Linked DNA regions of Saccharomyces cerevisiae S288C. The gene in region 1 interacts genetically with each later gene. Each region holds a gene or a part of one and is shown in the gene's direction. Other genes may lie near its edges.

Region 1 (8,804 bases):
TTAGATTGATTGACACGGGCGCATTGATAAATAACTTAGAGCCTAGACAAACAACCTCCAACACAGGCTTATTGAACAAGGCCAACATTCAAGCCTTAATTCACGGTCTGAATAGGCATTACTATTCTTTAAATATTGATTATCATAAAACCGCGAAGGAAACCAAGATGTTAATGAACTTACATAAAGAACAGTGGCAATCAGGTCTTAAGATGTACGATTATGAAGAAAAAGAAGAATCAAATTTGGCTGCTACAAAGAGTATGGTTAAGATAGCCGAACAGTACTCTAAGAGAATAGAAGAGGAAAAGGAATTAACCGAAGAAGAACTTAAGACAAGATACGTTGGTAGGCAAGATCCAAAGAAGCACCTTTCCGAAACAGCAGATGAGACACTAGAGAACAATATTGTTTCTGTGCTGACGGCGGGTGTTAATTCAGTGGCAATTAAATAAACAAATTTTATAAAGTCATTATGCATTAAATAACTAGAAAGCCCACTACATATATATTATATTGTATTTTTCTAAAAATTCTAATGAAGTAGTTAATGGAATGAATGGGAAAGAGAAAACGCGTTAGGAGGGAAAAGGCTCCTTAAATAACAGTAAAAATGAAATGGCTACTGGTAGTCCCAGTGCCAATTTTTTTTTTTACTTTCTTTTCTTTCACTCTTGCTTTTCCCATACTTGTATAAACGTTTCCTTCAAAAATAAAAGCTCGGCTTCTCTCTCTGTCGTATTTATGCCATCTATTTCTATCCATTTTTCACTTTTGTTATCATACAGCTGAGTAATCCAATGGCTTTTTTCATCACCATTAAATGCGTTTCCATCTGTGGATGGTTGTTTAATGACCACATGGACCACATTTGCTTTTAAGCGATACTTGACGTGCAAAATTTCAAGTTCACTGGAAAATTCCACCAACGTTTGGTTTCTATTTTTGACAGGATGATCACTGTTACGGTCAAACCTATTGAAATGAAATATTAAAAACTGCGGTAATCGCGTTAGTTCAAAAACGGTGCTAGTAGAGGAGCTTCTTGACTTAGTAAATTTAGTCAATAATTTAGTGATATTTATTTGTGGGAGATCATCAACGCTGTTGCCATCTTCAAAGGGTGAAAACTCCGGCAAATCGAGAGTCAGAACCCAAAATGGTTTGACAATGACTTTTCCTGTAACAGACTCACTGGCCTCAGGCTTATTTTCAACTTTTGCTATCTTTACTTTGCCTTTACAAGAATGGTTTAAAATTGACTTTAAGTCGTTCGAGGACGAGCAAATTTTATTGAATAGCCACAAAAGGAAGAGACGCGGGTCTATAGGATTTAAATTTAAACCTTCTCTAACTTTCAAATAGGATACAAAATCGTCAACTGAAAGATGATGTTTGAATAGTTTAGGGGACCAAATTTTCTTTACACATATGGATAACCTTTTGATAAATTCCCCTTGATTATCAAAATGATTCAGTAGGAAGTGGTCCCGCACTGGAACCATGTGCGATATCAAAAGCAATACACTATGCGCATAGTCATAAGTTGCCGCATTGGTGAACCCTATAAATCCATTCAGATATGTGCGATTGCTCAAATCAAAACACTGTCTCGGAAAATCTTCTAGATCTTTTGGACAATAAGTCGGATAAGCTGCAAATTTTATGCTGTTCAACAATTGAACCTCACCGTCATGTAAAATTTGGACATTTTGCGGCAACATGTAAAACTTCAAACTTGTCAAATTCAAGAAGACGTGATGGTTTTCATCAATTGAATGTATGAAAGCAGGACTCTTTTCATGTCTCCCCTGATAATAATGTCCACACACGAGGCAACAATATACATTCAAAGGGGACAGAGTAATGCAGCAAATTTTCTCAGAATCGAAATCTAGTTTTTCTCTTACTACAGTCTCAAGATAGGCATAGTTTGGTTCCTGAGACTTTATCTTTTTTACTGCCTCCTGTTTTAACTCATCTTCTGAATGTCTCCTTTTGTTATCAACCTCCATTATAAACAGCGCTTTAGGTTAACGCCCACTAAATGATGAACCATGAAGAGCATGGTTAGATTGCTGCCAATTTTTTTTCCTATTTCGTCATTTTTTTATCAAGATTTTCCAGTTTTTTTTTTTTTTTTGGCATTGCTTACTATACGCGAGGGAGGTTCAATTGACACTTTCCGCTACGGCGATTCTTCAGAAACTGTGTCATCTTTTTTCCAGGTCGAGCTGTAGGAAAACCTGGGAAATATAGGTATATACCTGATCTGTTGTTGGAGTGATGTGCCTTGAACCAATCTCTCTTGTTGTTTTCGGATCCCTGGTGTTTTTCTTTGGCTTGGTGAAGTATTTCAAACGTGGAGAACGGCAAAGAACAAGAGGAATTTTACAGCCAGAGTACAAAGATAAGTATTATTACAGTAAAGAAAAAGGGGAAGAAATGGGCGAGGTAGCAAACGTAAATGAAATTCCGGTCAAGATAAGAAATCATAAGTATCCTGCGAAAGAACATAACTTGAGGGTTAAAGATTTGTTGTTAAATCGCAATCCGAAGCTATCAAAGATATCCACAGCATTTTTTATTGCTGGTGAAGAATTAGAGGGAAACAAGTATTGTGACACCAACAAAGATTTTAGACAGAATAGATATTTTTATCATTTGTCAGGTGTTGATATACCTGCTTCGGCGATATTGTTTAACTGTAGCACAGATAAGCTGACATTGTTTTTGCCAAACATCGATGAAGAAGATGTCATATGGAGCGGTATGCCTTTGAGTTTGGATGAGGCAATGAGAGTGTTTGACATTGATGAGGCCTTGTACATATCTGATCTGGGGAAAAAATTTAAAGAATTGCAAGACTTCGCTATCTTTACAACCGATTTGGACAATGTTCATGACGAGAATATTGCAAGATCACTAATTCCTTCAGACCCTAACTTCTTTTATGCTATGGATGAAACTAGAGCAATTAAGGATTGGTATGAAATTGAAAGCATCAGAAAAGCTTGTCAGATTTCAGACAAGAGCCATTTGGCCGTTATGTCCGCGTTGCCCATCGAACTGAACGAGTTACAAATACAAGCTGAATTTGAATACCATGCAACCCGTCAAGGTGGTCGTTCTTTGGGCTATGACCCCATTTGTTGTTCTGGACCGGCATGTGGCACTTTACATTACGTCAAGAATTCAGAAGATATCAAAGGTAAACATTCCATCTTAATTGATGCAGGTGCAGAATGGAGACAATATACAAGTGATATCACCAGATGTTTCCCAACTTCAGGCAAGTTTACTGCGGAACATCGTGAAGTTTACGAAACCGTTCTTGACATGCAAAACCAAGCAATGGAAAGGATTAAACCTGGTGCTAAATGGGACGATTTACATGCACTGACACACAAGGTTCTTATTAAACATTTCTTAAGTATGGGTATTTTCAAGAAAGAGTTTTCTGAGGACGAAATCTTTAAAAGAAGAGCTTCTTGCGCTTTTTATCCCCATGGACTAGGGCATATGTTGGGGCTTGATGTACACGACGTTGGTGGTAATCCAAACTATGACGACCCAGATCCAATGTTTAGATATTTAAGAATCCGCCGTCCTTTGAAAGAAAATATGGTTATCACTAATGAACCAGGTTGCTACTTTAATCAATTTTTGATCAAAGAATTTTTGGAAAAGCACCCCGAAAGATTGGAAGTTGTCGATATGAGCGTATTGAAAAGATACATGTATGTCGGTGGTGTTAGAATTGAAGATGATATCCTTGTTACCAAAGATGGTTACGAGAACTTAACTGGTATTACTTCTGACCCTGATGAAATTGAAAAAATCGTTCAAAAAGGTTTGAAGAAACCCCGTTCAGGTTTCCACGTAATCGTTTAGGTATTAACTTTTTTTTACTCGCTTCTAGAAGTTTAGTATATTCTTTTGTACACAGAATTGTATATTTTTTTTATAATCTTGGATTCACCATTTAACTAGATTTGGAAATATAAGGAATGGCACTGAAAAAATTAAGGACCAACCCCGAAGAGCAAAAAATGAATGCGAATTCTGTGGATCGAACACAGGACCTCCAGATAACTTGACCGAAGTTTTTTCTTCAGTCTGGCGCTCTCCCAACTGAGCTAAATCCGCTTCTATTTATGAAAAATTCATTGTTACAGGAACTATAGGACTATAATAACTAGCTGCTAACACCTTTAAATGTGACTTTTCTCATAAGGAAATCTAGCGATTCAGAATTCGAGAATTTTGCAGATTGCAAAGTTTTCTTTTTACCATAATATTTGAGAATGTTGTAAAACTTGAGATAATTATTCGGATGTCATTGTTGATTGAAGATAGCATTCCTATGAGTCGCCCTCGAGGACTTGGATCGAAAAATCTACATAATATTAGTAATTACTATTATTGTTGGAATTGGATAAACCGTCGTCCACCTATTTGAGAAATAGGTAATTATTATATGAGTTATTTGGTTCCTTTTTGTTAAAGTAATAATTTGAAATGCCATCCATTTGGTAATATTCATGTTATTGGCATATTATCATATGCGGTTCAGGAAGATGACATAAAAGTTGAGAAACAGTTATCAACCCTAATGGAAGCTGAAATGCAAGATTGATAATGTAATAGCATAATGAAACATATAAAACGGAATGGGGAATAATCGTAATATTATTATGTAGAACTACCGATTCCATTTTGAGGATTCCTACATCCTCGAGGAGACTTCTAGCATATTCTGTGTACATAATATTATGGTCTTGATCAACAATGCAATCCCAACAGTTATCAAATTATTCAGAAAATTGATCACATTTTCGATAAATCTATTATGAAAGTAAAATTTTGACTCATACCTAAGTTCTCGTTATTCGTTAATCTTATGAACTCATTAACCTTGGCGTTTCAGCATCCGCTATGATTACTAGTGCTTAAACCTTGTTATTCATGCCTCATAATTGATGCCATCTTCTAACCTCGAGCGTGATAAAATTTTTGTAATATGAACACCAATCGGCGGAAGATCATCCCAAAGCCACATATGATGGTGCCTTATAACATTAATAACAACTTCAACTGCTGCATACCGATAATATCTTGACGATTATGCATTCGTGTCCTGATAGCTAATGCCATGAAACAATTCTTTTCAATCGCACTTGCACCTTCGTGAAATAGAAGGGTTATCTGGGCTTATCAGACTTGTCCACAGTTTACATATAATTTTTTTTCTGTATTAAATTTTGTGAGCTTTCTTTTTACTCAAACGAACTGTGTTATTTTTCGTTCATTAAATGCGTACCTTTAAGCATCATCAAGTATTGCTCTTCGGGAAAAATGAAGTAACCTTGTTAGGTTAATTTCACTAGTACTATACATATTTTATCCTGTATCATACCAGAGGATCATTCTAGCCACAATGGTCGATACGCATAAACTAGCAGACGACGTTCTTCAGCTATTGGATAACCGTATCGAAGATAATTATAGGGTTTGTGTTATCCTAGTCGGTTCTCCAGGCTCCGGTAAGTCTACTATTGCGGAAGAACTTTGTCAAATTATAAATGAAAAATATCACACATTTTTGTCAGAGCATCCAAATGTTATTGAGGTTAATGATAGGTTGAAACCTATGGTTAACCTAGTAGACTCTTTAAAGACGCTCCAGCCCAATAAAGTAGCTGAAATGATTGAAAATCAGGGGCTGTTTAAAGATCATGTTGAGGATGTTAATTTTCAACCAGTCAAGTACTCAGCCCTTACATCAAATAATGAAGAATGTACCGCAGTAGTTGCCAGAGGTGGTACTGCGAATGCCATAAGAATCGCAGCAGTTGATAATCCAGTCAATGTTAACAAGTTGGCCCAGGATAGTATCAATATAGCGCAAATAGTCCCAATGGATGGTTTTCACTTATCTCGCAGATGTCTAGACCTATTCAAAGACCCACAAACTGCCCATAAAAGAAGAGGTTCGCCCTCAACGTTTGACAGTAACAATTTCTTACAATTGTGTAAAATTCTAGCCAAGACGTCCCTATGTAAGGTCTCCTCACATCATAAATTTTACTCCACTTCAAGCGTTTTTGAGAAGTTATCCAAAACTTTTAGCCAAACAATTCCTGATATCTTTGTTCCAGGATTTAACCATGCACTAAAAGACCCAACTCCAGATCAGTACTGTATTTCCAAATTTACAAGGATAGTTATACTTGAAGGGTTATACCTACTGTATGACCAAGAAAACTGGAAGAAAATTTACAAAACATTAGCTGATACGGGAGCACTTCTTGTTTATAAGATTGACATAGACTATGAGGCCACCGAAGAAAGGGTGGCCAAAAGGCATTTGCAATCAGGGTTAGTCACGACTATTGCAGAAGGACGAGAGAAGTTTCGCAGCAATGATTTGTTGAATGGCAGGGATATAGATAATCATTTAATTAAGGTAGATAATATCGTCCATATCCGCAACGACTAGAAGGTTAGGCGGAACCTTGTATATATTTTTGTAAAATCGAACTGAATACAGATAATTAAGGCGCGCAAGCAAAAACGGCATTCTTTATGAACTCTGCAGAGGTGCCCTTTATTACGACATATATGGGAAGTAATACATATTGATTCTACAAGAAGTTCAAGCCAAGGTTTAGATATGAGTGACCAAATCAACGTTTTGTCAATGCAACAACAACAACAGCAGCAGCAGCAGCAGCAGCAAGTATATATGTCTCCTCAAGCAGAAAACTTGAATCATATGTACTTGTTAGTTAACAAGCTAGTGAAACAGTTGAGGGAAAATCAAGCAGAAAAGGCGAAAATACTAAGGAACATAGACATATTATCCGGAAGCTTAAACAAGTATGAGACATCTGAAGAACCTCACGATACCACGGAAAATATTGCATTATTTAATAGATTTCTAGAACAAAGAGGGAAAGCTCCTATTACTGAGAAAGAGCAACTAAGCAACAATCTGGATGAAAATGCGAAAGATGACGTTATGCTAGGAGTGTTGAAGCGCCAAAATTCAATGCTCCGGAAAAGTTTACAGGAATCCAAGCAGGTAACCCTTGAATCCATGGATTTATTGTCTTACTCCGAAGACTCTTTAAATTACATTGTCGCCCAATTAAGAGGAAACATTCTAATGCATCATAAAGAGACTATCAAATTGATTAGGCAGAAATTCCAGACGGAGACAATTCCCCTCGAAGATGAAGAGTTCAAGATGTATTTGGAAAATGTTAATGGTCTGCAAAAATTGACAGATATATCTCACACTTATAGATTACTACTGAGGTTACATGCACAAGATTGAAACTTTGCCCTTTTGCTTCCAATGAAAGCAAGATGACAAATATACATGCTTCTTATATTCGAGATTGCGCAAAAATTCGAAGCTCATTTATGAAGGCTTTTTCCATTCTGATATATGTTTATGAAATTGAAAAAGTAACGACGGTGGAACATTTTGCGGGAAAACAACTCACAGAATGTCTTGACGTTCTTTTCCTGCAGTTGCGTGCGTAAGATATCCTAAGCTACTGTATTATTTGCCAAAAATAATAAAATGTTGGAGGAAAGCCTCTATAAATACACAGGATATATATGTTTAATAAACATATATAATTTCCTCAATATTTGCAAAAGCATTTTGTTGTGATGAGAGTCGATTATCGTTTACCGATTAGTATCTATACTATTAATATATTTTCATATAATTAGTATAATCTCATATACGCTGCCAGAAGATAACATGAAAATTAAGAAACAATCATCAGCTTCAATGGAAGTTGAAGTGCAAGGATAAATAATACTATTTAGAAATATGGATTTTCCCTCGTTGACTAGAAGATCTGTGAAGATTGGGTGAATAGTTTAATAATTATTGGATCCCATTATTGATCAAGGCTATAATACTTGACTATTTGGCGAATTTTGAGATAATTGTTGGGATTCCATTGTTGATAAAGGCCATAATATTATGTATACAGGATATACTAGAAGTTCTCCTCGATGATATAGGAATCCTCGAAATGGAATCTATATTTCTACATACTAATATTACGATTATTCCTCATTCCGTTTTATATGTTTCATTATCCTATTGCATTATCAATCCTTGCACTTCAGCTTCCTCTAACTTCGATGACAGCTTCTCATAACTTATGTCATCATCTTTACACCGTATATGATAATATATTGATAATATAACTATTAGTTGATAGACGATAGTGGATTTTTATTCCAACACACTAATTATCATTCGTTACATCTCAAATTGGTTAGAGAAGTTACAAACATTATTATTGATTTATCCAAGGATAGTTTTCACAAGAAAACAAGCGCAAGTGGTTTAGTGGTAAAATCCAACGTTGCCATCGTTGGGCCCCCGGTTCGATTCCGGGCTTGCGCAGTTTCTTTTTTTTCTGATTTTTATTTTTTTGTTCCTGAAAATTTTTCGTATTATTAGATCTAGTAGAAAATGAAAGACATTTGAAAAGAGAAATATATATTCTGCAGTAAGCTAGCTAAGACTAGTCGTTTTGAAGCGCTAAAACGTTAACTTCGATTCATAGCACAAAAGGTAAATAACTTTTTTGAAATGGCAAGCATCGGTTCGCAAGTGAGAAAAGCTGCTTCTAGTATTGACCCTATCGTCACGGATTACGCAGTGGGCTACTTTAACCACTTGTCCGGAATAACTTTTGATGCTGTTCAAAGTAAGCAGGTAGATTTGTCCACTGAAGTGCAATTTGTGTCCGATTTATTGATTGATG
Region 2 (8,092 bases), on another chromosome or scaffold:
AGGTAAAAAAGAGAAAGGGTATCGTAATCCTTTCTATTGAATTTCAAAGTATGCACTTGAAACAACGTGTAGACCATCAAGTTGATTTTCTTGGGAATAAGATACTTTGAAGGGATTGGTCCGCCCTGGAAATCTGGTTCGTCTTCAACAAATGTCAGGAACTTTTGTACATTTTTCCCGACCATGACGGAAATGACAATTTTTTCAAAAGACCTTTTCCTATCCATTGCACCAGTTCTGAATTTTACCACTTTGATTAGGCCAGACTTTTCGTCTTCGTAGAATGACCGCACTTCCGTGGGGATCGATTCAAATAAAGTTATTGAGGGACAATGTACCAAGTCGTTTTTGTTATTTAGAGCCGACTCAAACTCGTCAAAGTTTGCTTTTTCAAACTTACGCCTATCGGAAACTTTCATTTTATTTTTGTAAGTTTCGAAATTAACAATAGTATGTTGATTGTTATGCTTTTTGACAAGAAATCCATCAATATAAACAAAAGATTGTCCAGTTTCCGTCTTATCATCATCTGAGAATGTAATAATTAAGCTATTGAGAAGATGCAGAATCTGCGCTATGCAGGTGCAAATCTCTAGCAGCAGCAAAGTAAATTCAGTTAGTAAGCAATCTCACTAAGATAAGCGACTGTCTGTCCCCTTCAAGCACAACATAGAAAACAGAAGGATGTCTCATTCATCGCTTGATTTCCGGCCTGCAAAAATAAAGTAGTCGGTACGTACGTTCGTTTTCAATTTCCATGGTGCACAGTATCTTAACTATCTGCTTAGTCGAGGAGAACCAGGATTCTGTTCGTTGCTCAGCCGCTTCGTGGATATTCTCTTGGATACTTTAAACATGGACCTACGCTTAGCCTGCGCTTAGCCTACAACTTCTTCCGCTCTCGAAAAGACCAATATAATAAAAAGTTATAAATTACATTTCCTTATTAGGTATACGACCTCACGCTTCGAAGTAAAGGAGCCTACCACTCTATACCACCACTACCACCACCGCCACTTGCCACACTCACCTTCACTTCTACTGATATGTCATACGCACACGGATGCTACAGTATATACCATCTCAAACTTACCCTACTTTCATATTCCACACCATGGCCCCATTCTCACTAAATCAGTACTAGATGCACTCACATCATTATGCACGGCACTTGCCTCAGCGGTCTATACCCTGTGCCATTCACCCATAAAGCCCATGATTATCCACATTTTAATATCTACATCTCATTTTGCGGTTCCAAATATTGTATAACTGCACCATATACTAACCACTCAATTTATACACACTTATGTCAATATAACCACAAAATCACCACCAAAATCACCTAAACATAAAAATTAACCATTCATTAATGAGAAGATATAAACATACTAAATATTAACATAATTGAAATATCGTAAACATAACACCCTATTCATTAAATTGTCTATTACTTGTGCCATTTACCCATAACATTCATGATCATCCACATTTTAATTTTCTAAAATTGATCACAGAACCTCCATTATCATATCAATACTCTCAACTTCATGCTTTATAACGTTTTCATACAAATTAACCACTATAAGGTATCATAGCTATTTGCATTCTCATCACCTTTCAGTGAATTCCAATTTAATAGCAGAATATACTCGCGCAGCTGCTATGGTGCGTTTTTAATCTCTCCCCACCTTGGTATTCTATAATTATGCATACATGGTCTTGTGGTATCTTTGATATCGAATAGTTTATGCTTGCAATTTCAGCCTAATAATGGCGACATAAGACGTGTCCTCATGTCGCTATTCAAACGCAACTACAAGATCTTCTTACTCCCTATACTCATTCCCGGTGCCACTATATAACACCACTATGCTATACTATAATAGCAATACACATTAACGCAGATGCTATAATATCTTTACTTCATCTCACCAACTCAACTGATAATCATACAGACAGTACTATACAATACAGTCATTTACTAAAACGAATGCCGCTCCATGATATCCCAAACTTATACTGGCACCATTTTGAAACATTATATGTCACCTCTTCATCCTAATGACTTCAACTTCATGCATTATAAAATGGCAGCTACACGTACTTATGCGGGTACTACGACATAAGCTTATCTTGTCCTATTTCGTTACGTTAATTTTAATTAGACACTAGATGCACGAATTCCATTTTTATGCGAATGATCTATGAAGCCATTGTTGTACCATCACCATGTGCTATTCCATCGGGCTTACAATACTTGGGTTTAAAGCATTACTAATCTTGCAGGAAAATCTCAAAAATGACATACAATACGCAATAATAATTTTTCAGCGAGTTTCTAATTCAAAGACATTGTATTTAGAAGTGATGTACGTAACACAGTTTGCCACTTGAGTTCATTAGACTTTCAAAAATGCAATAGTAAGATTACGTCCCCTTCTTACTGAACTCCAAAACTGTGCGGAGTTTTTGAATGATGCGGGATGGCGTGAACAAACCCATTTTTTCATCCTAACCATCACTAAGATCAATCAGTTGTCCTTCAAAAAAAATTGTCAATTTTATCTGTTTTTAGGGTGAACTTGGATTAATATAGAGTTATAAGTGGTATTATTCATTGGTGCCCAAGTAATTTTTTGGTGAGTCAACAATTAATTTCTATTGTTCCATATATAATATGGTTTAAGGATCCTCGCGACTATTGCCAAAATCAATAAAATTGGAACTTCTAGCAACGGCCCAAATGTTGCAGCTATTGCTTGCTTGCTATTGTTACCATATAAGGAAATAGCAATTGCCAGGGATAGTTCAAAATTATTTGAAGCCATAGTGAAACATTGCGTCATCGTAATAGAAAAGCTAGCTTCACAAGACTTTCTTCCCCAGACCCTCTTTAAAAGTAGTTCTTGGTCACAGCTACATTCTCTTTGTGTATCACTCCTAGATATTGATAAGTACCTCATTAATGCGAAGGTCAAAAACCATGCAATAAAGAAGTAAAGCACCAATGGGACAAAGCACAATATTGCAGAACCAATTTCGTGGATAAATTGATAACCTCTACTAATAAAAATAACAAATAAAGTGTAATGAAATCCGATCATTGCCCATGGAGAAATAAATCTCAAAATGTATTTTTCATAATTACTTTTACCAGCTATGGTAAGACTTCCCAAACGTATGATAATGCCAATTCCCAGTGGTATGCCGAGAAAAACTCCGACAGACTTTGCAACCTCTTCGAATAATACCCTATTTGAAGTATTCAGGTGGTCATGAGAAATAACATAACAGTAAAATATCTGCAATGGTGCATATAATACCATCTGTAAAAGCGAGTTTGTAATAACAAGCACGACGCAGAGATCATTGTCTCCTCCAGCAATCTGATTCCAAATTAGCACCATGGCAATGCATCTAGCTACTCCGATCATAATAATGCCTTGACGGTATTCCTTATAATCGAATAGCGCCATCCACGCCAATGCTGTCATCAACAAAGGACCGATGACCCAATTCAAAAATAACGAGAGGGCTAGTTGCTTCCTTATATAGCTCCTGTAGAAGTACTTGTGAATAGACTCCCAGGAAACTTTGCAGATCGGGGGAATCATCATTACAATCATACCAACAGTCAAAGGAATGGACACTCCCATTAGATTGGGATGACCTTCAGCGTCAAAAGTGTGACGGGAAGAAGGCACATAGACAGAAATTATTACTGCAATGATTATGGAGAGAATTATAGTAAATGGCAACATCAAGTCAAGCCATGACAATGACTTGATCGTAGTCAGTATATCGGTGCGATTCACCATATTAACCTTAGAAGGTACCGAATTTTCACTTTTTTGATCTTCTGACATTATTCTACTAACCTGATGATTTGTTGGTTGGGTTCTCTTGAATTACAACGAGAGCATTCATTTATATTCTTTTCCGTTTACATTATAATTATGTAAGGAGCGTTGCCGCTAAAGTTGATTATTAATCAAACAAAAAGATAATTAAGAGCATTCAAAATTTGATTTTAAATCAACACTTTTGAAAAGTCGGTATAAAAACTAATGTATAACAAACTAATATTGAGGAAAACTTGACAATCCAGCAAGCGTAATGGTAAGTTTCATAACGTCTAGGCAACTCAAGGGCCTAATTGAAAATCAGAGGAAGGATTTTCAAGTTGTTGATCTTCGAAGAGAAGATTTTGCACGTGATCATATTACAAACGCTTGGCATGTTCCAGTAACAGCACAGATTACAGAGAAGCAACTGAATCAATTAATTAAAGGTTTATCCGATACTTTCTCAAGTTCTCAATTCGTCAAAGTGATATTTCATTGTACTGGGTCCAAGAATAGGGGACCAAAAGTAGCTGCTAAATTCGAAACCTACTTACAAGAAGAAGATATTACAAGTAAGTTTGAGAGTTGCATCCTCGTTGGAGGTTTTTACGCTTGGGAGACCCATTGTAGAGAGAGTAACCTTAAATTGATTGTTAGTGGTTGAGCTCCTCAAGCTTTATTGTTCCAGCATTAATGTAAAAGTCTTTTCAATATTTTATGTACGGCAAAACTTTTTAATTCCATTTTTTTTTTTTTTTTCGTTTCTTTTCTTATTAAATTAAATATAATTATAATTATAATATTCCTATCTTTACAAAATCATATTAGTATATAATTCTAGCATGCGGATGGTCTTTAAGGAGCGGCCGTTGAAAAAACATGTCAAAACGGAAGATAAGTGACCAAGATAATGGCAAAACCGCGTGGAAGAAAAGGCGGCAGGAAGCCTTCACTTACTCCACCTAAAAATAAGAGAGCTGCGCAACTTAGAGCATCCCAAAACGCATTTAGAAAACGAAAGTTGGAAAGATTAGAAGAACTAGAGAAGAAAGAAGCTCAGCTAACGGTAACAAATGATCAAATTCACATATTAAAGAAGGAAAATGAACTTCTCCATTTTATGTTGAGGAGTCTTTTGACTGAGAGGAACATGCCTTCTGATGAACGGAACATTAGTAAGGCCTGTTGTGAAGAAAAACCGCCCACATGTAACACTCTCGATGGTAGTGTGGTTCTTTCCTCCACATATAATTCCCTTGAAATACAACAATGCTACGTATTTTTCAAGCAACTGCTCTCAGTGTGTGTTGGAAAGAATTGTACAGTGCCGTCACCGTTGAATTCCTTTGATCGGTCCTTCTATCCCATAGGCTGTACGAATCTCTCAAATGACATACCAGGCTATTCTTTTCTAAATGATGCAATGAGTGAGATTCATACGTTTGGTGACTTTAATGGGGAACTTGATAGTACCTTTTTGGAGTTTAGTGGGACTGAAATAAAGGAGCCAAATAATTTCATTACTGAAAACACTAATGCAATAGAAACAGCGGCAGCGAGCATGGTGATTAGGCAGGGTTTCCATCCAAGACAGTATTATACAGTGGATGCTTTTGGAGGGGACGTCCTATTAAGTGCGATGGATATTTGGAGTTTTATGAAAGTGCATCCAAAGGTTAACACATTTGACCTTGAAATTTTGGGAACAGAACTTAAGAAAAGTGCTACGTGTTCTAATTTTGATATTTTAATTAGCCTCAAGCATTTCATTAAGGTCTTTTCGTCAAAATTATAATATTCTTCCTGTAAGCACAGCGCAACATTGTCTTTCTTATTGTTAATATATAAGTTAAAAGCCGAATTTTTCATTTATTTATATAGATGGCGTGAAGATTATTACGGTCAGATACCTTCGCCTATTTATGTACTTGCATGCGTTTAGATTTTATTGGAAAAAGTATTAATTTATCGTCTATCGACTAGTATTCACGTTACTAGTATATTCTGTATAGTTAATGATAGAGCCTTTATTTAAAATGGAAGTCCAATAACTATTTCAAAATCAAATTATATGTCAAAGATGTTCAACAAATTGGGAAGGCAAGAGGCGAGCACTAGGCCTGATACCCTTCTTAATGCCTTGACATACACGTGTCTATTTCTTTTTTCTTGTCGAGGTATTGAGGTATTGACCAATGCTGAATGCTTGATAATGTAATTAGGGATCGCGTACGACAAGTTTCAGCAATTGTTAGGGTGTTATTTTCATTGTTCCCGATTATGAGCACAATATGGCGGTCTTGTACTAGGATAACTTGGGCGTATGTTTCACTATACTAGAACCATGATTTTATCAGTGTAGAACAAATGCTGAAACTTTGATTCAAATACAAACATTTACTAAAACACTGTAATACGATCGATGTGGAGTATTCGATGAATATTTTTCATGTTTACGTTTATATAATTCCTTTCCAAACGCTTTTCGTCGATTAACTTGGAATTCTTCATAACATTGATTGGAACCCTTAGTTATCCATTCACCATGGAAAAGGTTTGAGAAAACTTTTTATAACTTTGTTGTAAACATATTATAGTAAAGTAGAAGAGCCTCTGCTATGCATGGTTAAGTAAAATTGCAATGTGCACGCAAGTATACATATATTGTAATTGATCGAAAAGAAGTTAAGAAATTTTTAATTACTAATGATTAATGGAAAGGAAAGGTCTTTTCTCATTTCGTTTTGTCATGATGTTCACAATAAGGGATATCAAGTAATCGGGCAACGCAAGTTAAACAGTTGCCAATTTGGAGCTGATATTTGATGGAATTTTTTTGGACTATTACAAATTGATTTATCGTCCTTCGTATGGACGTATCCATGGCAGTTTATTGGTTAGTTTCAGGTCTTTTTACGTAAGGAAGAATGCAATTAGTAGGTCACAGAACATAAGCGATAATGATTTCCAATTTCTGTATGTACTTATAAGCGTTCGTCAAAGCAGCTCTTTTAAGATTTCCCGAGTATAAGTTTAATAAAATATAAAGAATCATACCATTGGATGGATACAAAACAAAAAACAAGGGGACCTACCAATTTTTAATCATTCAAGATTGTTCTGACACTACCAGTCAAAGTCAATGGGTCCAGCGTACAACTCAGGGGGGCAATCCATTAAGAGAACATCAATGAGATTTTTTTGAGAAATTGATGAAGTTGCACAGAAAACGAATAGGTACCTCTTTGAGCAGACAATGTTTGGAAGATTTCTGAGTTTTTTTATAAGAGTGGTCATCTAGTAACTGATACTTCATCAGCCTTGTATTTTAAAAAAATTCCTATTCTTTTGGTCATTGACATTTGAACTATTGCTATGTATAGAAAAAACACAACCGGCCAATACCAATAATCCTTCAGTGTCAGCATGAGTATTCACATATCCACATAGGAGCTGTAAGCCCGAAAAGTATCGATAAACTAGTTGAAAGAAAGTAACACTGAAAGGGCGGCAAAAAGAAAATGCCTTTACTAGCTATAGTTCAAGACTCACGATCTCTATTGTTCCAATATTGGAGATGGAATAATCCAAGGATTATCAATGTCCCGCTTTTTATATTTCACCTTTTCAGGCATCAGAGTTTGTGGAATGACGGGAAAAATCAACATCAGATCCTCGAGAGTTTATTAACAGTTTTATTGATATTATATACGATTATATTATCCCAACCCACAAAACAGTATTTTCAACAGAAGTGGTAATTTTTCTGTATTTAATGTACGGAAAGTAAAGCTACCACCTTTCTGTGACAACTGTTTAGTACAGACACTGAATCTGGTTTGGCTTAAACAATAGTTCTCGGAACAAGAGACCTCATCAAATTCGAATCTTCATTTGCTATCCTACGATATTCATTAACACTTGCTCAACTGAAAGTCCACATTTAATGCGGATTTTATGTATATGTATTTACGAACAAATTTAATTTTTATACAGTTGGTCAACTTTCTGCTAGTTTAGGAACGGTGTTGTTAGTAATAATGATATCCTAATCACAGGGTATTTTGTAATTATGAGCTTTGATTATATCTTTATATTCGAATGCTATATCCTCAGTAGCTTAATATTAATCTTTCTTGAGGCAACTAAGCTTGCTTAAAGCTAGCATTAATCACTAAATAAATAATGAAAGACAAACCATCTGATGTTAGATAATATATAAGTACTGTCTAGTTTTATCGAAC
Region 3 (4,117 bases), on another chromosome or scaffold:
TTGCCACACCAGAACCAACGAATCGTCTTGTTCTCTATTATTAGAGTCTTGACACCAGCCAATTCTACATCTGTCTTTATAGAACTCGTTATCGTGAGTTACATCACCACTGTTGTCATTTCTGTGAGCGTCAAAGATTGGGTTCTTTAAGTGAGCATTGCATATCGACCACACAGAGTCCAAATACTTGGGCCTCCATAGGCCCTTCGGTATATAATTTTTCAAGGGATGGCTCGAACCATTGGCACGAGAGTGGTCTGGTGTATTCGTTTCTGTATTGGTTGTTTCAAAAATTTGGAAAATATGCAATGTTTGCTTATTTGACAATACGGCCAACTTACTACCATTGGGGCTGAAACTCATCTCGTAAATATCCGCCTTGTCCACCCCTCTTCTAAATTCTTTGATTAAAGTACCGTTATGCGTACTGAAGATTCTTATAAGTGTACCCTGGACGGAACATGTTGCTACCATGGTGCCTTGACGGTTCAGTCTAACCAGTTTGATGGGATTTTTATGTGCTTTAATGATGGAAGTGGGCAAAAGCGCTGATTCCTTCGGGTTTTGTGAATTATATTTTATTTGTGATAGGTCGGCTACTTGAATTTGGCCTACGCATTTATTCGATGGGAATGCAATGATTTCTAAGATTTTAGACTGTGACTGCGATGCTTGCGACTGGAGATGTTTGCTGCTACAAACGACATAGTCCACTGATCCATTGGGAGGGATATCCAAAATAGGACAAATTCTTTGAGGATTGGTTTGAAATTGGAAGATCTCTATTGTGTTCTCCAGGACTACCACAATATGAATCCTAGATAAAAACACGTCTTTAATGGAAGACATAAACTTCAAAGTAATCGTTTCCTTTTGCAAAAGATCATCCCAGATGATCAGTTTATTTAGAGCATGCCTTGGTCGTTTACCACCTCCGACTAGTGCGATGTAATTCGTACGATAAAGCATCCTGGTATAGCCAATCCCAGTGCCCCTGGATTGGTTGGTCGCAGACTCTTTAAATGTTTTCGATAGCTTACTAGTCAATGGATCTGTATTGAAAATACGAAATCCATTCTCTAACGCCACGCTGAAACACGAATCATCTTGGTTAAACGAAACGCTCAAAAATTTTGGTTTCCTCCTGTTGTTGACTGCCTCCCTTATAGGTCGACGAACATCCATCTGCTAGTTATGTATGCTTATAGTTGTCCTCTAATAATCGCTGCCTTTCCAGATCTTCTGGTTTCTCTTCCCTTTAACAATAGCCCCCGCAGTACGTATTACTAAGGTAAATAAATATAACCGGCTTTACAAGCCAGAAAGCCGTGATCACGTGATTATCAATTTCTTTATTTCATTTCGCTCAGATACTGCCAAAAGCCCCTGATCTTGAACACAAAGGTAAACAACGTTAATATGAACCTGGCTATCATCATTAGGATAGGCTCATTTTCTCTTTTTAACTCAGGCCCCTTTCTTGCACTGTTACCATAGGATCTTACCAATTTGCATTATTTCCGCCAACTAGCGGATATCCGCTGTATTTCCGCGCTTCTATATGCTATGGCTGGAAATACAATAAAAAGTGTCAAGCAGAACCACTACATTAATTTAAAGAAAAATGTCTTATATCAAAGAATCGGCACTGTATCAATTGATTATATATAATGCTAGAGTTTCCGTACCCTCTTGCAACGTCCTTTAAATCTTGTATCTTTTCTTCTACAATTGTAGTAACACCACGTCTACATTAGTATCTAAATTGCAGCCCAATGAAAGGCGAACCTAAGACTTACAGCATGAGCGACCTCTCATACTACGGTGAGAAAGCACAACAACAGAACGAGAAACAGCAAAAACAATATGTTGTGAGACGAAATTCTACGCAGTCAACATCAAAACAAAACGTGAGCGTGGTGCTCGAGGACAACGCCAGCGAAAGTAATGAACTACCTAAAGGGTTTATCTTGTACGCATCTTTGATAGCATTGGCTTTGTCGCTGTTTCTGGCAGCCTTGGATATCATGATAGTTTCTACAATCATTGAAGAAGTAGCTAAACAGTTTGGATCGTACTCTGAGATCGGGTGGTTATTTACCGGGTATAGCTTACCAAACGCTCTGTTGGCGTTGATATGGGGAAGAATTGCCACACCTATCGGATTCAAGGAGACCATGCTATTTGCTATTGTCATTTTTGAAATCGGGTCGCTGATCTCTGCTTTAGCAAATTCAATGAGTATGCTCATTGGTGGTAGAGTTATTGCTGGAGTCGGCGGTTGTGGTATTCAAAGTTTATCGTTCGTCATTGGTTCAACCCTGGTAGAGGAGTCGCAGAGAGGCATACTAATTGCTGTTTTGAGTTGTTCGTTTGCTATTGCATCTGTTGTTGGGCCTTTCCTTGGAGGAGTTTTCACCTCCAGCGTCACATGGAGATGGTGCTTCTATGTTAATTTACCGATCGGTGGCCTAGCATTTTTCTTATTCCTGTTCTTTTATAACCCAGGTTTAAGTACATTTCAAGAGACAATGGATAACATCCGCAAATTTCCATCACAGTTTATCGAAATTGTTCGGAATGTAGCATATCATTTATTGAAAATCAAAGGGTTTAGCAAACTTAATGGGTGGAGAAAGCCGTTCATGGAATTGATTTTCATGTATGATATTATCGAGTTTGTGTTTTGTTCAGCTGGATTCACATGTATTCTATTGGCTTTCACATTTGGCGGTAACCGGTATGCTTGGAACTCTGCATCCATCATTATTCTTTTCATCATCGGTATAGTCCTGGTAGTGTTAGCAGGTATCTATGATTTCCTTGTCTTCCCCAAATTTAATATAGTGAAAGCAACACCACATTACCAACCATTAATGTCATGGACAAATATCAAGAAACCAGGTATTTTCACGGTTAATATAGCCTTGTTTCTCACTTGTGCAGGATATATCAGTCAGTTTACGTATATTGTGCAATACTTCCAATTAATTTACAATGATTCCGCCTGGAGAGCCGCTGTACACCTGGTTGCTTGCATTATTTCTACAGTCGTTACAGCAATACTTTGCGGTGCTATCACCGACAAAACCCGCCAAATCAAACCGATTATTGTTATTTCAAGCATTTTTGGTGTTGTTGGTGCGGGTATATTAACCCTATTGAACAATAATGCCAATAACTCTGCTCACATCGGCCTTTTGATATTACCTGGCGTTGCTTTCGGTGGTTTGGCACAAAGTTCCATGCTCGCTTCTCAAATTCAGTTAGACAAGAAGAGCCCAACTTTTCGATCAGATTTTGTCTCTATTACCACTTTTAACACATTTTGCAAAAATCTAGGTCAAGCACTGGGAGGTGTCATCTCTAACACTGTTTTCAGTGCTGCTGCTATCAAGAAATTAACCAAGGCTAATATTCAGCTCCCAGATGGTACCACGGTAGACAATCTGGTAATCTATAGGCAGACCAATTTCGATGGCTCTCATTCCAAATTGGGCAATATAATTTCTGAATCTCTCACTGACGTCTTTTACATGGCATTAGGATTTTATGCATTATCTCTCATTTTTGCTGTTTTTGCTTCAAATAAGAAAGTCACAGCAAGCCTGAGATAAGTTAAGCACGATTTAGAAGGTGGCGAGCCTCAAAGTGTAAAGCTGCAGAAAAAATAAACATGACTTTTAGTAATTGGCTGTTTAGCTTGCTGAATTGTGTACCACAACTAACGATAACAGTAAGAGGGTAATCCGAGACAGTATGAGTACAGCTATTAAATAGTTAATTTAGATTTTTATACTGGTATGATAAACGACGTTCATATAGCAAGAGCGTCAATGCCTCTATGTCACCTTCAATAGAAGTTTCCCTTTTTATTTCGACTTTTGTTTTTGTATTTTTCGGCGTCTGCCTTGTTCCATTTTTAAGGCGCCAAAAATAAAATAAAATGATGAACGATTAGTACTCAAAGAACACTTTAATCCTTGGAAACAAAAAAATAAAAAATCAAAAGTTGAAGGAAGGTCAAATTTTCTTCCTCCAACGATAATAATACTTGCTTATATAACTCTTTTAAAGTTTTACAAAACTTTGGATCAGAAAAAAAGAAAAAAATATG
Region 4 (7,883 bases), on another chromosome or scaffold:
TTGATGTATGTTTTAACCCAATTTGGAAAGTCATTAGGTGAGGTTAACATTGGTGGTGGTCTGACATATTTTTTAGTGGATGTCATATCAGAGTCCGCTGAGGATGAATCAGTAAATGTATTACCTGACTCAGGTGATGGAGTGCTCAGAGGCGTTCCAACTGATGATGGATACTGCGGAAACTGTGATTGTGGCCCAGGTGGAAAGTACATAGGCGACATTTGATAAGGTGTATACGGAATCATAGATGGGTGTCCGTAAAATGACCAACCAGATGGATTGGCTTGGTTTTGGGTCATCATGCACTGCTGTGGGTACGGCCCATTCTGTGGAGGTGGTACTGAAGCAGGTTGAGGAGAGGCATGATGGGGGTTCTCTGGAACAGCTGATGAAGCAGGTGTTGTTGTCTGTTGAGAGTTAGCCTTAGTGGAAGCCTTCTCACATTCTTCTGTTTTGGAAGCTGAAACGTCTAACGGATCTTGATTTGTGTGGACTTCCTTAGAAGTAACCGAAGCACAGGCGCTACCATGAGAAATGGGTGAATGTTGAGATAATTGTTGGGATTCCATTGTTGATAAAGGCTATAATATTAGGTATACAGAATATACTAGAAGTTCTCCTCGAGGATATAGGAATCCTCAAAATGGAATCTATATTTCTACATACTAATATTACGATTATTCCTCATTCCGTTTTATATGTTTATATTCATTGATCCTATTACATTATCAATCCTTGCGTTTCAGCTTCCACTAATTTAGATGACTATTTCTCATCATTTGCGTCATCTTCTAACACCGTATATGATAATATACTAGTAATGTAAATACTAGTTAGTAGATGATAGTTGATTTCTATTCCAACACTTTGAGACATTGTGAGACCCTCCGTTCGCAACCGTGCTCTCTGTTTTCATCACTATATGCACGCTCTTTCCAAAGCTCCTGCACTTTGCACGTGGCGGAGCCATCGCCCGGCTTCCATATGTACGGCTGCCACACCTAACTATTTCGGTTGCGGCCATATCTACCAGAAAGCACCGTTTCCCGTCCGATCAACTGTAGTTAAGCTGGTAAGAGCCTGACCGAGTAGTGTAGTGGGTGACCATACGCGAAACTCAGGTGCTGCAGTTGTTTTTTTTTTCGCGCACGAATACATCACGCAGCCTCGCCTTGACACTGCTCAAGGGATAAGGGGAAGGAGCTGAGATAGAACTGAGTTGGAGCGTTGCAGCGGCACGAGCAGTGAAAAGAGCGAAGAGAAGAGAAGCAGATAAAAGACCAAAGTAGCGATGATACTTCGATGTTTGGAGCGATTTTTCCTATGTGAATATTAGAAATCATATGTTTTGTATCAGCTGAACAGTGAATGATGTGCTCAATACTCAAATTCATCTTTTTGTTTGCTAAAAATAGCTTAACTGGCACATCATGAAAAGGATGTAGAAATTATAGAGTATATTTACTACTAAGAACTATATAAAAACACAGTGTGATGAAAAGTCACTGATCAGGCTTTAACCACCGTAGACGCCAGAAAAAACAGACCTAATCTGATCCATGCCGTAGCCGGAGTACAAACATAATTGTAGCAAAATACGCGATTTTTGAGGGTTTAGGTAGCCAGATCCAATGGCGTACTCTGGGGCATCATCTGGAGGAACTGTACCATCTGCTGTTCTTCTGCTGTGAACAATTGGTATACCATACTCTTCATAAAGTTGTTCGTTTACAATACTACCCGTAGCAGTCCAGGAACCAGCTCCAGAACCCGCCAACACGATACCTTTTGCGCCCAGGTCCTTGACGGCCTTTACTATTAGCTCAGGATTCAAGCCTTGATAGGAGTACAGAATAATGACTTCTGGAATTTCCGAAGGGTCTGTGAGGTTGGAAATGTCAAAAAATTGCCATCCATTTGGCTTGACTGGTGGGTAGTAAAACTCCACGTCATCATTTGAAAAGTAACCTAAATATCCCTGTTCATCCGCTCTGAATGTATCTAAAGAGTTGGCATTCATTTTCGTTGTCCAAAACCCAGAGGCAATACGATCGTTTAGAGTGATCATCGTGCCACGACCCAGTGATTTCTCAGAAGCAGCAATAGACACTGCTTGATATAAATTCATTGGGCCATCAGCAGACGTGGCAGTGGCTGGACGCATAGCGCCTGCGATACATACTGGCTTCTCTGAATTTATGGTCAAATCTAAGAAGAAAGCTGTCTCCTCCATAGTGTCGGTCCCATGAGTGACAACCGCACCAGCGTAGTCATCAGAGGCTAGTGCCTCGGAGATACCGTGATACAATGGGATCAGATGCGTATAGTTTAAAGAATTTGAACCAACGTTAGACACTTGAAGATAGTCCAGATTTGCCTTCTCAGCTAAAGATGGGACGGCTTCTATTAAATCATTTACGGTTAATCCCACGCTATAACCCGCCGTTGTTGCACTTGTCGAACCCTTGGAAGCGATAGTACCGCCGGTACCAAAAATTTTGATTGATGGCAAAGAAGAATTCTTCTCTTCACGAATTTTTAGTAGTGGAGCACCACTGGACATTGCGACAAAGAGAGAAAGTAAAAGGGTATTTAAAGATCTCATAGTTGGAGGTTGGTGAGTACCAGATTGCTTACAAAAGAATAGCGAGCCAACATTTGCTCTGCCTCAGGCCTCTTGGTGCTGCTTGAAGACTCATCTTATATGGCTTTTGTATGTCATGATTTGTTCTTGTACATTATGTGTTGATATTAAACAAATTGATTTTTTTTTTTTTGCGATAGCAAGCAGATAATGAAAGAGACAAGGACTTGGAACATCCGATAAGACTGCGCCGATATCGATCTTACAGTCCTTCCCTTGTGTCATGACTTTCGGAAAAGCATCCTCGTCGACTGGTAGTTTGCTGTCTGTCACGTGCTGAAGGGTCTGATACATTTTTTTAAAGATAAGAGACGGGGTTTACCCTTCGGAGGACTAAGCGAGATCTCCAAGTAAAGATCTCGCTTATCAAGAAAGCAGCCAAGTGTGGAACGTCCTTTTTTTTGGTTTCAAAAAGATATTCAACAGTTTACACTGCAGCTTTAATTGCCTCAAAAGGATATCATGAGGTGATCTAGGGTCAGAAGGGAAAGATTACAGCATCTTGAGTTGAATCACATCTGCAAAAGGTGGTATTATTGACGTTGCTCTTCCTTAATGGAAACTCATGGGGTTTGGAAAGGAGGTGCGGTAATCTATTTTTTTCGAACACAAAACCTAACCTTGAAAAGAAACTGTCCAATTTCATTGAACTTACCTCAGAACGGGCCGGAGTCTTTGCTTTCAGTCTAACATGGTCTAATTTCTTCGAAAAGCTTCATTTAATTGTTAGACTGTGGTTTTACAAGGAAAAAACCAGTGCTATACTGAAGCGATACCCAGAACTAATTACCTTGTGTGACGATTCGGCTCAGCGAAACGGACATGGTAAAATTGGGAATTTGAAAGCAGGCAGCAGCCTTGTACAGCGACATGACGATAGGTTTAGAATCCCCATCACGTACGAGTTGAAGAATTCTACGAAGGCTCTATGCGTTATTCCTCTATCGGTATAAAGTGTAGCGTTGTAGGGGGGATATTGGTGGTTTAGTTGAATTTGCGCAACGAAATTATAGAACTCATAAAAGTTCAATTCAATACTTGAAACCCTTAACGTTGGTTCGACCATCAATTGTTTGGACATAATAGTTTTATTCTGCGGCCGATTTCAAAATTTAGTAAATCAAATGTTGAAGCATCACCAGTAGGATGACCACTCCCATGACAAAACTCCGTCCCAAAGATAGCTTGATCATCCTAAGCGGGTCGCATTTTACTATCCCCAGTTCCGAAGAATAACAAGGCTCAATGCATATGCTGTTTATCGTGCTCACAAGGCGGTATGACGTTTTTAGCAATGTAATTATATTAAAAAGATCTTCAGTCACTATGAGTGGTTGATTGCCCCATAGAGAGCTATAAGCCGACGTGAAAGCTGCTGGTTCCAGCTTGGCTCATGTCGTCACCAGTCACTAGTCACTTGGTCGCATTCATTGCTACTCATCTGCGAGTGAGCATATTTGAGATCTGACTTGCCAAGGGATTAGAATCACGTAAGACTCTTGATCCTTAGAAGATATTTCTGACAAAGAACCACCTAAGCCATGCAAGTTTTTTTTTTCATTTGGTGGCGAAACAAAGGTGATGAAAGTTTCTTCTTGTACAAACGCCAAGCCCGATAGGTGAGACAATTCTTGAAGTAATGGACCTCTGAGTAAGCATATCAGTCGAATGAAGTTCCAATATGCGTTGGCCAAGGAACAGCTAGGCAGCAACTCGCGCAGTGGCGTCAAAAAACTAATAAGTAAACACCACTGGCTTCCGGAATACTATTTCTCTGATCTCTCATTTTCTGTTGTACAGCAGTGGGACAGTAGAGCCATTGAAAAAACTACAATCATATCTTGTATGCGGCCCGCAAACCAAGAGATTTATCCTTTGAGACATTGTGAGACCCTCCGTTCGCAACCGTGCTCTCTGTTTTCATCACTATATGCACGCTCTTTCCAAAGCTCCTGCACTTTGCACGTGGCGGAGCCATCGCCCGGCTTCCATATGTACGGCTGCCACACCTAACTATTTCGGTTGCGGCCATATCTACCAGAAAGCACCGTTTCCCGTCCGATCAACTGTAGTTAAGCTGGTAAGAGCCTGACCGAGTAGTGTAGTGGGTGACCATACGCGAAACTCAGGTGCTGCAGTTGTTTTTTTTTTCGCGCACGAATACATCACGCAGCCTCGCCTTGACACTGCTCAAGGGATAAGGGGAAGGAGCTGAGATAGAACTGAGTTGGAGCGTTGCAGCGGCACGAGCAGTGAAAAGAGCGAAGAGAAGAGAAGCAGATAAAAGACCAAAGTAGCGATGATACTTCGATGTTTGGAGCGATTTTTCCTATGTGAATATTAGAAATCATATGTTTTGTATCAGCTGAACAGTGAATGATGTGCTCAATACTCAAATTCATCTTTTTGTTTGCTAAAAATAGCTTAACTGGCACATCATGAAAAGGATGTAGAAATTATAGAGTATATTTACTACTAAGAACTATATAAAAACACAGTGTGATGAAAAGTCACTGATCAGGCTTTAACCACCGTAGACGCCAGAAAAAACAGACCTAATCTGATCCATGCCGTAGCCGGAGTACAAACATAATTGTAGCAAAATACGCGATTTTTGAGGGTTTAGGTAGCCAGATCCAATGGCGTACTCTGGGGCATCATCTGGAGGAACTGTACCATCTGCTGTTCTTCTGCTGTGAACAATTGGTATACCATACTCTTCATAAAGTTGTTCGTTTACAATACTACCCGTAGCAGTCCAGGAACCAGCTCCAGAACCCGCCAACACGATACCTTTTGCGCCCAGGTCCTTGACGGCCTTTACTATTAGCTCAGGATTCAAGCCTTGATAGGAGTACAGAATAATGACTTCTGGAATTTCCGAAGGGTCTGTGAGGTTGGAAATGTCAAAAAATTGCCATCCATTTGGCTTGACTGGTGGGTAGTAAAACTCCACGTCATCATTTGAAAAGTAACCTAAATATCCCTGTTCATCCGCTCTGAATGTATCTAAAGAGTTGGCATTCATTTTCGTTGTCCAAAACCCAGAGGCAATACGATCGTTTAGAGTGATCATCGTGCCACGACCCAGTGATTTCTCAGAAGCAGCAATAGACACTGCTTGATATAAATTCATTGGGCCATCAGCAGACGTGGCAGTGGCTGGACGCATAGCGCCTGCGATACATACTGGCTTCTCTGAATTTATGGTCAAATCTAAGAAGAAAGCTGTCTCCTCCATAGTGTCGGTCCCATGAGTGACAACCGCACCAGCGTAGTCATCAGAGGCTAGTGCCTCGGAGATACCGTGATACAATGGGATCAGATGCGTATAGTTTAAAGAATTTGAACCAACGTTAGACACTTGAAGATAGTCCAGATTTGCCTTCTCAGCTAAAGATGGGACGGCTTCTATTAAATCATTTACGGTTAATCCCACGCTATAACCCGCCGTTGTTGCACTTGTCGAACCCTTGGAAGCGATAGTACCGCCGGTACCAAAAATTTTGATTGATGGCAAAGAAGAATTCTTCTCTTCACGAATTTTTAGTAGTGGAGCACCACTGGACATTGCGACAAAGAGAGAAAGTAAAAGGGTATTTAAAGATCTCATAGTTGGAGGTTGGTGAGTACCAGATTGCTTACAAAAGAATAGCGAGCCAACATTTGCTCTGCCTCAGGCCTCTTGGTGCTGCTTGAAGACTCATCTTATATGGCTTTTGTATGTCATGATTTGTTCTTGTACATTATGTGTTGATATTAAACAAATTGATTTTTTTTTTTTTGCGATAGCAAGCAGATAATGAAAGAGACAAGGACTTGGAACATCCGATAAGACTGCGCCGATATCGATCTTACAGTCCTTCCCTTGTGTCATGACTTTCGGAAAAGCATCCTCGTCGACTGGTAGTTTGCTGTCTGTCACGTGCTGAAGGGTCTGATACATTTTTTTAAAGATAAGAGACGGGGTTTACCCTTCGGAGGACTAAGCGAGATCTCCAAGTAAAGATCTCGCTTATCAAGAAAGCAGCCAAGTGTGGAACGTCCTTTTTTTTGGTTTCAAAAAGATATTCAACAGTTTACACTGCAGCTTTAATTGCCTCAAAAGGATATCATGAGGTGATCTAGGGTCAGAAGGGAAAGATTACAGCATCTTGAGTTGAATCACATCTGCAAAAGGTGGTATTATTGACGTTGCTCTTCCTTAATGGAAACTCATGGGGTTTGGAAAGGAGGTGCGGTAATCTATTTTTTTCGAACACAAAACCTAACCTTGAAAAGAAACTGTCCAATTTCATTGAACTTACCTCAGAACGGGCCGGAGTCTTTGCTTTCAGTCTAACATGGTCTAATTTCTTCGAAAAGCTTCATTTAATTGTTAGACTGTGGTTTTACAAGGAAAAAACCAGTGCTATACTGAAGCGATACCCAGAACTAATTACCTTGTGTGACGATTCGGCTCAGCGAAACGGACATGGTAAAATTGGGAATTTGAAAGCAGGCAGCAGCCTTGTACAGCGACATGACGATAGGTTTAGAATCCCCATCACGTACGAGTTGAAGAATTCTACGAAGGCTCTATGCGTTATTCCTCTATCGGTATAAAGTGTAGCGTTGTAGGGGGGATATTGGTGGTTTAGTTGAATTTGCGCAACGAAATTATAGAACTCATAAAAGTTCAATTCAATACTTGAAACCCTTAACGTTGGTTCGACCATCAATTGTTTGGACATAATAGTTTTATTCTGCGGCCGATTTCAAAATTTAGTAAATCAAATGTTGAAGCATCACCAGTAGGATGACCACTCCCATGACAAAACTCCGTCCCAAAGATAGCTTGATCATCCTAAGCGGGTCGCATTTTACTATCCCCAGTTCCGAAGAATAACAAGGCTCAATGCATATGCTGTTTATCGTGCTCACAAGGCGGTATGACGTTTTTAGCAATGTAATTATATTAAAAAGATCTTCAGTCACTATGAGTGGTTGATTGCCCCATAGAGAGCTATAAGCCGACGTGAAAGCTGCTGGTTCCAGCTTGGCTCATGTCGTCACCAGTCACTAGTCACTTGGTCGCATTCATTGCTACTCATCTGCGAGTGAGCATATTTGAGATCTGACTTGCCAAGGGATTAGAATCACGTAAGACTCTTGATCCTTAGAAGATATTTCTGACAAAGAACCACCTAAGCCATGCAAGTTTTTTTTTTCATTTGGTGGCGAAACAAAGGTGATGAAA

The links.
Region 2: mutations in YFH7 (region 1) and ARR2 together harm fitness more than expected from each alone (negative genetic interaction), as found in Saccharomyces cerevisiae (one large-scale study listed by BioGRID).
Region 3: mutations in YFH7 (region 1) and AZR1 together harm fitness more than expected from each alone (negative genetic interaction), as found in Saccharomyces cerevisiae (one large-scale study listed by BioGRID).
Region 4: mutations in YFH7 (region 1) and YLR159W together harm fitness more than expected from each alone (negative genetic interaction), as found in Saccharomyces cerevisiae (one large-scale study listed by BioGRID).

Annotation. Positions count from the first base shown.
Region 1 is NC_001138.5:153,859-162,662, forward strand, and holds YFH7 (Yfh7p), read left to right. Parts: upstream 1-5,440; coding exon 5,441-6,502; downstream 6,503-8,804. Other genes in the region: proteasome regulatory particle lid subunit RPN11, read left to right, coding at 1-455; mRNA splicing protein SAD1, read right to left, coding at 669-2,015; YFR006W (putative Xaa-Pro dipeptidase), read left to right, coding at 2,287-3,894; FAR7 (Far7p), read left to right, coding at 6,677-7,342; putative AAA family ATPase GCN20, read left to right, coding at 8,630-8,804. UniProt on the Saccharomyces cerevisiae protein: ATP-dependent kinase that could be involved in endoplasmic reticulum membrane assembly.
Region 2 is NC_001148.4:935,699-943,790, reverse strand, and holds ARR2 (Arr2p), read left to right. Parts: upstream 1-4,119; coding exon 4,120-4,512; downstream 4,513-8,092. Other genes in the region: YPR202W (uncharacterized protein), read right to left, coding at 1-592, 741-759; ARR3 (Arr3p), read right to left, coding at 2,655-3,869; ARR1 (Arr1p), read left to right, coding at 4,759-5,643. UniProt on the Saccharomyces cerevisiae protein: Involved in resistance to arsenic compounds.
Region 3 is NC_001139.9:941,031-945,147, forward strand, and holds AZR1 (azole transporter), read left to right. Parts: upstream 1-1,775; coding exon 1,776-3,617; downstream 3,618-4,117. Other genes in the region: phosphatidylinositol-3,5-bisphosphate binding protein HSV2, read right to left, coding at 1-1,185; AMA1 (Ama1p), read left to right, coding at 4,115-4,117. UniProt on the Saccharomyces cerevisiae protein: Transporter protein required for adaptation to high stress imposed by low-chain organic acids, in particular by acetic acid, and for resistance to azoles, especially to ketoconazole and fluconazole.
Region 4 is NC_001144.5:481,033-488,915, forward strand, and holds YLR159W (uncharacterized protein), read left to right. Parts: upstream 1-4,312; coding exon 4,313-4,657; downstream 4,658-7,883. Other genes in the region: YLR157C-A (gag protein), read right to left, coding at 1-569; YLR157W-E (uncharacterized protein), read left to right, coding at 841-1,005; YLR157C-C (uncharacterized protein), read right to left, coding at 1,027-1,158; asparaginase ASP3-3, read right to left, coding at 1,517-2,605; YLR159C-A (uncharacterized protein), read right to left, coding at 4,679-4,810; asparaginase ASP3-4, read right to left, coding at 5,169-6,257.